Drosophila melanogaster: one gene and its partner. The protein of the gene in region 2 interacts with the protein of the main gene of each other region in a pairwise test. Each region holds a gene or a part of one and is shown on either strand. Other genes may lie near its edges.

Region 1 (5,059 bases), on a different chromosome or scaffold from region 2:
CCATCCTGGAGATATCGGAGCACCTTGAGTCAGTCTGAGGCCGTGTGTGATGTTATTCGGTGGAGGGGTTGGGGCAATTCGAATGGGAGTAGATTTGTAAGTGGAAGTCGGTGGGAAAGGAAAAGGGGTAGGACTGGACATCGAACTATAATGGGGGCTGGACCGGGACCGGGGCCACCTTTTTATTAAGCTCGCAATCGCAATTATGAATTATTTGATCCATATACGATATACACCCATACATACATATAAATAGCCTATATAGATATGAATGCGGGTCGGAATCGGAATCGGAGTTACATCGATTCACGTTTATTGGAACCGATAGAATCATTACCGAACCGGGCGAAGCAGTAATATTGAATGATTTAGTTGTGTTACTAGTCTTAAGTAGTCCAAGTTTCGTACGCATATACGCAGACATATACAATATGTATATTGATAATAATAGCGTTAAGCTATAGCTCTACTTATGATTACACTATACACTATTGTATTGCCCCCACGACAGTGGACGAGAACAACGTAACTACATATATCAATTATTCGAAGCATTTATTGGGGGCATAGAAAGGGCGTATCCATATAAGGATATATCTATTATGTATTGGTACAATAATTAGCGACAAGCAAAGAAAAAAAAAACAAAATTTAAACAAACATCGATTGTTCTTAAACATGGAATTCAAATGTAAACCAGATATTAAAGTCATTTGGTATAAAATGCAATATACTTCTGGAGTTCCTACATTATATAGATATAGATATAGATATATATGGGTGATCTGTGTTTTCGTGTGTGCGTGGAAGGGACGACCGGCCGGATCATGTGACTAGAAATCTTTTTTGGAGGCACTATAATCACCAGGGGATCAAGGAATTTTTTCTTACCGCAGATCATTCAACATGACATTTGGGTACTTCTCCCATCGTATTACTACCATATGGCACACATATATCATATCCCGCTAGGACGGAGGACGATGAAGGTGTTAAGGCATCTGTCGGAGTCACGTCGTGGCCTTCACCTGCCGATTGGACTCCAGGTGCTTTCGCTTTGCATTGGCCTGATTCCGCTGCTTCTGGGTATCTGGAGAGCCATGGCAGCGCAGCAAGTTCCAGTAAGCTCTTCGGTATTCGGAGCTCATCAACACGTAGATCAGCGGGTTGATGCAGGTGGTCAAGTAGATAAGTAGATAGCCAGCAATGTTGAACCAGTGCACCTCGGTGGCGCTTTTCCATATTTTGGCCACCGTGATGGGCAAATAACAAATTACAAACCACACGAAGATTACCAGTATCATCTTAAGCAATCTCCGGTCCTTGGCACTCATCCTTCCCGGGTAAATAGAGGATGCATTTGAGGTATTGCCCATGGAGGCGTAGTGGGATTTCCGCGGGCTAAACCGTGTGAAGGAGGTGGTGCGCAGGGATGTAGTGATAGGGTTCTTTCTGGAATGGATTTACGCATTAAGGTTGAGTGAAATGGCAAAGAAGCCTTCAACAGCTACTCACCCATGGGTTTTGCCCATCTCTAGTTGCGTTTGACTGCGTCCCAGGCTGACCTTTTCCTGATCCCGATCCCTTTCCTTCTCCCGCTCCTTGAGCACCACATTGGCATCAACAGGCGGTGGCTGCTGGTCCTGATCCCTCCTCCGTATGCTGTACGAGATCGGCAGACTGTCCGTCGAAGCATTGTCATCGATATACGCTAAGTTTTCCTCCACCACAAAGGGTCGTCCTGCGATCGGTTCGTTCGCCTCGCCGCTGGACGTGGTCACCTTCTCCGGCTTCTTTGGTGTGGCCATGGCTTGAATCTGATGCTGCGGCGCGGAGCTGGGAGTCACATCGCTGACATTGGTCTTGCCAGCGGTTCCCGCGCGAATGGCCGCCTTTCGCACCAGCAGGAAGATTCGGGCATAACAGATCACGATGCAGATGCACGGCACCATGAAGGCGGCGATGAAGAGGAACTCCTTGGGGGATCTACCATACCGATCATGCATGATGGAACACGAGCCGATGCTGACGTCCAAGCCAAAGATACCCCATACGCCCCGCCAGGTGGGTATCATTATGGAAAACGTGGTGATCCATGTGCCGGCTACCATCAAAGCCAAATATCGTCGCTGGTAAATTCTGGAAGAACGGATTTGAACCAGTGGGAATTGTATTTTGTACCATGTCTAATTTGATAATAATATATGCTCATTGTATTCAAATATATTATTTTAAGATATCCGTAGCTCACGAAAATAAAAACTAGCTAGTTATTTATTTCTCCAGAAATATTGTAGTTCATATTTTATAAGATATTAATTTCCGTTCAGTTTAATTGTTTATTACGAAAATATTGAGATCGCTGAACCGACCTTTTCTATAGCATTTGCCTCTAGCAAGTAATGTTCTCTTTTTTAGTTAATTAAAAAACATCTACGAGAAGCCATACATTTTCCTTTTTATAAACAAGTTCAAAAGTTTATAAGTTCAGAAACACAATAACATATGTGTGGGTTTTTTTCTCAGATTAAGTGGTAGGTTACCATGCGTATCATAATAAACAGATAAGCACCAAGAGGAAGAGTTGGGCACTCTGAATACCCTTCAAGATTTAGGCAGGACATGCCGATATGGGCAGGCCCATTCTCACCTTGGATACTGCCTGGGATGGGCGATAATGATGTACCGGTTGATGGTGATCAGCGACACGGAGAGCAGGGACACCGCCAGCAAGCCGTAGCGCAGCATCGGAAACAACCTGCACAGCAGATCACTATGGGTCCACGCCCGCTCCTTGAAAGTGGACGCGGCCAATGGCAGATTAAAGCAGCCAAAGAGTAGATCCGAGCAGGACAAATTGATTATGAATATGGCCGTGGAGTTGCGGGTTTGACGACCTCGCGACAGGGCCACTATGGTCAGTAAATTTCCGGGAACGCCCACAATGATGAACACTATGCAGGCCACCCAGGCGATGGTCAGCAGCTCGTCCGAATAGCCCTCGAAGAGCACCTGGCGCCTGTCGTCTACATTGAGATTAAGATTCATATTCAGATTGAGGTCCACGTCCACGTCCAGGTCCAGGCTGTCGGAAAGGGGTACCGGCAACACCGCGTCCTGATCCGCCATGTGATCAGTAGCATAGGGATCCGAAAGAGGCAGCGCTATCGAGATCGGATGCGGAGTTGGTCCGGATTTTGGTGGGAACATCGCGCGGCACTTTGTGTTCGGCAAAAGACGCGTTGCTCGTTCCTGCGCCGAATTTGTACTAAAACTGAATTCTCCGCATCCATACACCGACATGGTTCCCACCCAAAAAGTGGGCCCGAAGGCAGTCGCCGCCAGCCAAGCGTACAAAATATTGAGAAAAAAAAAAAAAACAGCAGGCGAACTAGAAAAACTTTCAAAAAGGAAAACAAAAGAATCTCAGAGCAGCAACAGCAGCAACAACACACATTTTTATTGTATACAACAATTGACTTCATCATCGGGTAATTTGGTAATTTGCGTGTGGAATGGGCGCTTTGTTTACATTGTTCCTATTCGGTGTTGTTTCTTAACCGCCCTTCCCGCCCCATTCCGCCCCAATCCACTCGACTCTTTCGCTCTTTCGTCGATATTCTGACGGGGTCATGTTGCTGTTGTTGCCGTTTTTCAAAGTTTCAGATACTAGACCAGGGATACCATTGCCCAAAATGGTTCGACGTTTTAGCTACATACTTGAGCATTCCGACAGCCAGAACATACATACTTGCATTAGACTAGTCTTTGCATCAGTCTGGTGGAATATAAGTCATGAGCAGCATGGGGAAAGTTATCTGCATTGCTAACACAATTCAAGACTTATCACTTGCAATGAAGTAAGAAGTTCCCCTCCTTAATTGATACCTTGACCGATACGTCTTGGATGCTTAAAAAATTCGGTGTGCCAGAGGTTACATGAATATATTGGGAATACAATGAATAAGCTCCTACAGATGAATCGAGTCTATTCGTAGCCCTGATTTCGGGCCATACGCACCTCTCCGGCATTTTTGAAATGAAAAACTTTTCGGTTCCTGGGTCGTGTGCATGTGTGTGTGTGTTTGTGTGTGTGGTTGCATAGTTTCCTCTGGCAATTTTCTGGATAATAAATGGGCGGCATCCATTCGAAGCGAGGAACTGAAAAAAAAAGCAAAACTTTTGCGAGAGGGACTCATTCGAATAAATATGCCTATAGATCGAATTTGTGCGTAGAATGAATACTCCAGTCATGGGCGATTAATCCTGAATCATAACTCGAGACTATGCGTTTTTCACGCTCTCATAACCCGTTTCGAATAATGAGTCAAACCCCGGAAGCCTGGTGTCACACGACGTCAGCGTACATATGTAGTCTTAATTAATCAAGCCAATATGCCGGGGGAAACCTCTCTACTTTTCCGAGGGTCAGAGTGCGGGTCGTCTGTTGGGTCGAATTGAGTATTGTTTGCCTTTTGAAAAGAAAAACAGGCGGTTCTAGGGAAAACTCTTTGGCAACGGCACGAATACGAATACGTTGTTTGTTTTCATGCAGGCCAATAGTCCGGGAATTGCAGCCGACTACCCAAGAAAATAACATTCAGTTCTTGAGGAAATTAATATAATTATAGCGCCATATCGCATTCACTTAAATGACGAGAAATTTTTAAGTTTAAGATCCTAGGAACTGGATGGAATACAATACGTGATAACGAAACATATGGCTCATCCTCGTACTTGCGAAAACATGCGTTTTCATAAAACAATACAAGGCTTTATCGAGCTTAATCTAAACGTATAATCCCATCATTTTTTAAGAAATTAAAAGTGCACTATCCTTGCGCCCACCACTGTACTTGGAAATGCCTGCGGGATGGGCATAAAAGTGGAAACTAAGACCTCCCCCCCCCCCCCACTCATCAACCATTCTTGATATGATTGTGAATACGATTCGAACGCCAATCGACGCCCGCTTCGGATTCGAATTCGGATCCAGAGATCCAGACTAATGTAAACTTCTCCGGCGTACTTACATATACGCCTATACGCATACGCACAC
Region 2 (4,258 bases):
TGATGGGAGCCACGAGCCACATGTCGGAATACTTCGTGCCGATTGGCCGGACCACCGGGCAAGGGCAAATTAGTGGAACATCGTTGACCATGGGGTATTGTTTAACAAGGCGCAATCGTGTTTCCTCTATTTGACACGGAAAACACGTCTTTCCAATTGGCAGTACGTGGTCAAATGCCAATCAAAATTTTCCCAATATTGATGAATAGAATCGGGTCATGCCATAGGTGTTTGCCAAAATACAAAGATCAAACAAGCGAATGCTGCCGTATGTTAGATACATTAAATTCATTTTGATTGCAGAAAGACCCGCTGGAGTTCAGCAAACTGAAGTACAACACCACGTATGTGCTGAGGATTCCCCGTTCCAGTCCCAATTCCGTGTTGGACGACTCCAGAAATGTCTTTACCTTCACCACGCCTAAATGTGAAAATTTCCGCAAGAGATTTCCCAAGCTGCAGATCAAGTGCAGCGACTAGCCTTCTCTGTATGGGCTCAACGCACTGCTGACCATGAGATTACATTAGATTGTAAATAATTGTATGTAAAACTTAACTTTTACTTATCGTTAGGCCTAAGAACAAACAACAAGAAACTAAACACCGATCGTTTTTTACGTGAAAAGGTCCTTAAACTGCTGTAGATCCTGCTGATGAACGGGTTTCTGACTAATAGAGCCCAAAAGTTTGCAGTCTTCCAAGCGCACGCCATGCTCAACAAGAGCTGCTATCAGTCGCGAGGTGTAGAGCACTGGTCCGCCCACCATGTGCAAGAAATCATAGTGCTTCTCCCGCCGCGTGCTAAAAAGGATTCGCTTAGAGACAAAGTCTCCGTAGTTGCTGATACGTCCCACACACACATAGCGCTGCAGTGAGGGGGCATAAACTTCGATGACTGCCCGGATACTCTCCGCCGGAGTTAGATCTGCTGCTGTTGCATAAGAAATCCTGAATGGTATGTCCAGTGCTTTGTAGAAATCAGTTGCCAGATTGAGAATATGCTCTAGTTGGGAGTCCGCTTCGTTGTCCGTTTGCGTTGCCACAAAGATTTGTACCGCATTCGTTTGTGTCGCCGTATAAAGACTAGGAATGGGCCCATACAAATCCGCTTCCGCTCTGTTGTAGCTCCGACCACAGCAGACATACCGAAGGGGCAGCACCGAGGGATACACGCACAGCTTGGTCATGGCACCAAGGTAGCTCTCGAAGGACGCACCTCCAGTCAAATAGGCGGTATTGATCTTGTTTTGCAGGTGCTCTTCCTGAACCAGATGATAGTCGGATAAGGGTGTCGCATTTGCTTCCAGGAGAACGCAACGCACAAAGTCCGGATTGGCGGTTTGAATGAAGTGCCCGTGGTTGACGAAATAGCGGGCCAGGGATTGCATGGCATTTACGTCAAAAAGAGCAGCCTGCTCCATCAAGTAGTAACGATTGTTGTCTACAAAATGTACAAGTTCCTGGCGTGCCAAGTGGGATGTAGTCTTATTTTCTGATTTGGGTATCCCATGACGATAGAGAAGCTTTTCCTCCCCTCCAACAGGGCACTGGACATGCAGAAGGTTGGGCAAGTGCAGATAGTCATGAATAAAGTCATCCTCTATGGGATAGAGAGTCTGCTTCAGAGCCTTTAGCTCATTGCGCAACGATTTCCCATGCTCTTTCAACTCCTCCAGCTGAACCGCACTACTACCAGATTTCGTTAGCTCCTTTAGGCGCTTGGTCACCCTTTCGCGTTCCTCCGCCACCTTGGACAGCTGAGCGTGATGTGTTTTATACTTCTCGTACTTGCTGAGCACAGTTTCCAAACGAATGTCCAATCCCCGGCTGGAGATGCTCTGCTCCAAAAATTGCCGCTCTCCAAAGGTTTTATTGAAGTCCATGTACGGCTGCAGAGTCACATAGTTTTCGTTCGCTTTATCGCCGGTTATGTACAGCGCGGAGATGTTTCTGCTACACGTTTTCTTTGCCGAAAGGCAGTGTTTTAATACACTTCGCAGGCTCAACATTATTTTTATTATCGAATGCAAAATAAAATAAGCCGGTAAGGCAAAATCAGCTGTCGCCAGCGCTGCCAGATCCGGAAGATTTAATAGGGGTATTTCAATGATTTCAATGTTTAAATTTATGAATATCCAGTTTTTAATTTAATTTTGTGAAAAATTTGTTCATTTAATTAATTTAAAATTTATTACTTCTGCTACATTAACTACGGCATTTTAAAAATGCAAATCAAGTTGGTCAGGTCTGAAGTTCCGAATCTCGTGGGAAACAAGTTCTTTCCAGCATTTTACAGGCAGTACCATGTTTTCGAAGTTCTGATCATAGACTGGTGCGGTGTCTTCGGCATGATGGTGTGGCTCAATAAGATCCCGAAGGTATGGATGGAGCATTGCTTCCGCAGCTGTGATACGTTTTTCGGGTACCATTTCGAGCATTTTTTCCATCAAATCGATGGCCTGGACATCGTAACCCATAAACAGGTGATGAAAATCGCACCTTTGTCGTAACGGGTACCCCTCCAGGTAATTACGCGAACGTTCCATGCTTATCCCGGTGATAAACTCCCTCGTCGGAGTACCCATTATGTTAATCAGACATCGTATTTGGCTTACATAGTTTTCACCGCGAAACAGGACACGATCCGTGATAAGTTCCGCCAGAATGCAACCAACCGACCACACGTCAATTGCCTTTGTGTATTGACCCCTTAAAAAGATAATTTCCGGAGCTAGATACCACATAGTTCCAACATGGTCCGTCATTTTGTCTGCGCACATACGGGATAAACCGAAGTCAAGTATGCGCACCTCGCTATTTCCATTAACTGCGATATTGCAGGGCTTTAAGTCTCGATGAACAACCCCGGCACTATGTATGTACTTCAGTCCCCGCAGTATTTGGTAAAGGATTATCCTAATCTCTTGATCGCTCATCCTTTTCGAACGCGAGTACCTGTGCAAATCCGCGTCCATCAGGTGAGTCACCAAATAAACCTGCTGAAATTCCATCATGTTGTGCGCTGGTGGATGGAAGACGTTCAGCAGGCTGATAACATTTCGATGATTCATGTGCTTCAGCAGACGGATCTCGCGATAGGTACCCTTAGCATCCTCCTCCCTCTCGAATGGGCGCATAAGCCTTTTCATAGCGAAGTAATTTTCAGTGCCTCGTAGTCTCACCTTAGCCACCTGGCCAAAGGAACCGCCACCCAGAAAACGAACGAACTCGTATATATCCGGGAACTCCCAAAGGCTTTCGTTAATTGCCACTCTCACGAACTCCGGCATTCTGGATTAAATGTGCAAAAATATGTCTTCTACGAAAGGAAACAGAAAGAAAACTGAGCTTGCATTTAGTCACCCGCTAAACTCTTATCTTTTCTCAACACCTTATCTATCAGTGCACATTCGACTGACAGAACACTAAACTTGTTCGATTCAGTCATCTGTATGACCGGAGATACACACATATGCTATAGACCCAAAGATCCTGCCCAAGAGGTGACAAAAATAAGGTTTTTAGTTGAATAACTTGATGTTTTTATAAAACAAATTTTTTGTTAAATAAGCAGTAAGCAGCAAAAAAACAAAATAAAAAGTTAACACTAAGAATTGATAAATTTGAGTACAAAAGACATGGTTGGAACATAAAGGCTATAACAAATAAATTGGCCTATGTAATACTTTAAATTCTTGATGGTTTGTGTTCACTTTACATCCTTTAGAACCTGAGCATACGATGGTGGGGGCTTAAAGTTGGTGACCTCCTTGTAGATCAATTCCTTCCATTTGTCTACGGGCAAATCCATATCCTCGAAGCTGTGATCGTATGGTGGTGAGGTCTGCTCGACGCTGGGCTCCGCATACTTCTCCAGATATGGATGGGAAAGAGCCTCCTCGGCTGTGATCCGCTTTTCGGCATCTAGCTCCAACATCTTTTCCAGCAAATCAATGGCCAGCGGATTGGCGTTCTTAAAAACATTTTTAAAACTTCGTCCCTTCATAGGCGGAAGTGACTGGATGTAGGAACGTGCACTTTCCGATGAGATCTTCTTCAAAAATTCGGCGGGTGGCGTGCCCAACATCTCCATAATCAGGTTTAGCTGGTGAATATGGTCGGTGCCTGGGAAGAGGGTTCGTCTGGTAATTAGTTCGGCCATGATGCAGCCCACCGACCAGATGTCCACTGTTTGGTCGTAGTGCATCCAATTGAGCATTATTTCAGGTGCCCGGTACCAACGCGTGGCCACATAGCC

The links.
Region 1: the proteins of Slimp (region 2) and CG4313 interact in a two-hybrid assay, tested with the Drosophila melanogaster proteins (one large-scale study listed by BioGRID).

What each region holds. Positions count from the first base shown.
Region 1 is NC_004354.4:2,050,897-2,055,955, reverse strand, and holds CG4313 (uncharacterized protein), read right to left. Parts: upstream 3,273-5,059; 5' UTR 3,211-3,272; coding exon 2,651-3,210; intron 2,140-2,650; coding exon 1,516-2,139; intron 1,453-1,515; coding exon 1,011-1,452; 3' UTR 542-1,010; downstream 1-541. Other genes in the region: Sik2 (Salt-inducible kinase 2), read left to right, coding at 1-38.
Region 2 is NT_033777.3:24,146,893-24,151,150, forward strand, and holds Slimp (Seryl-tRNA synthetase-like insect mitochondrial protein), read right to left. Parts: upstream 2,076-4,258; 5' UTR 2,010-2,075; coding exon 615-2,009; 3' UTR 544-614; downstream 1-543. Other genes in the region: Kal1 (kallmann syndrome 1), read left to right, coding at 304-480; p38c MAP kinase, read right to left, coding at 2,220-3,290; p38a MAP kinase, read right to left, coding at 3,710-4,258. UniProt on the Drosophila melanogaster protein: Essential protein which may play a role in mitochondrial morphogenesis and function. Has transfer RNA (tRNA)-binding activity and can bind tRNA(Ser) but does not have serine--tRNA ligase activity and does not bind ATP.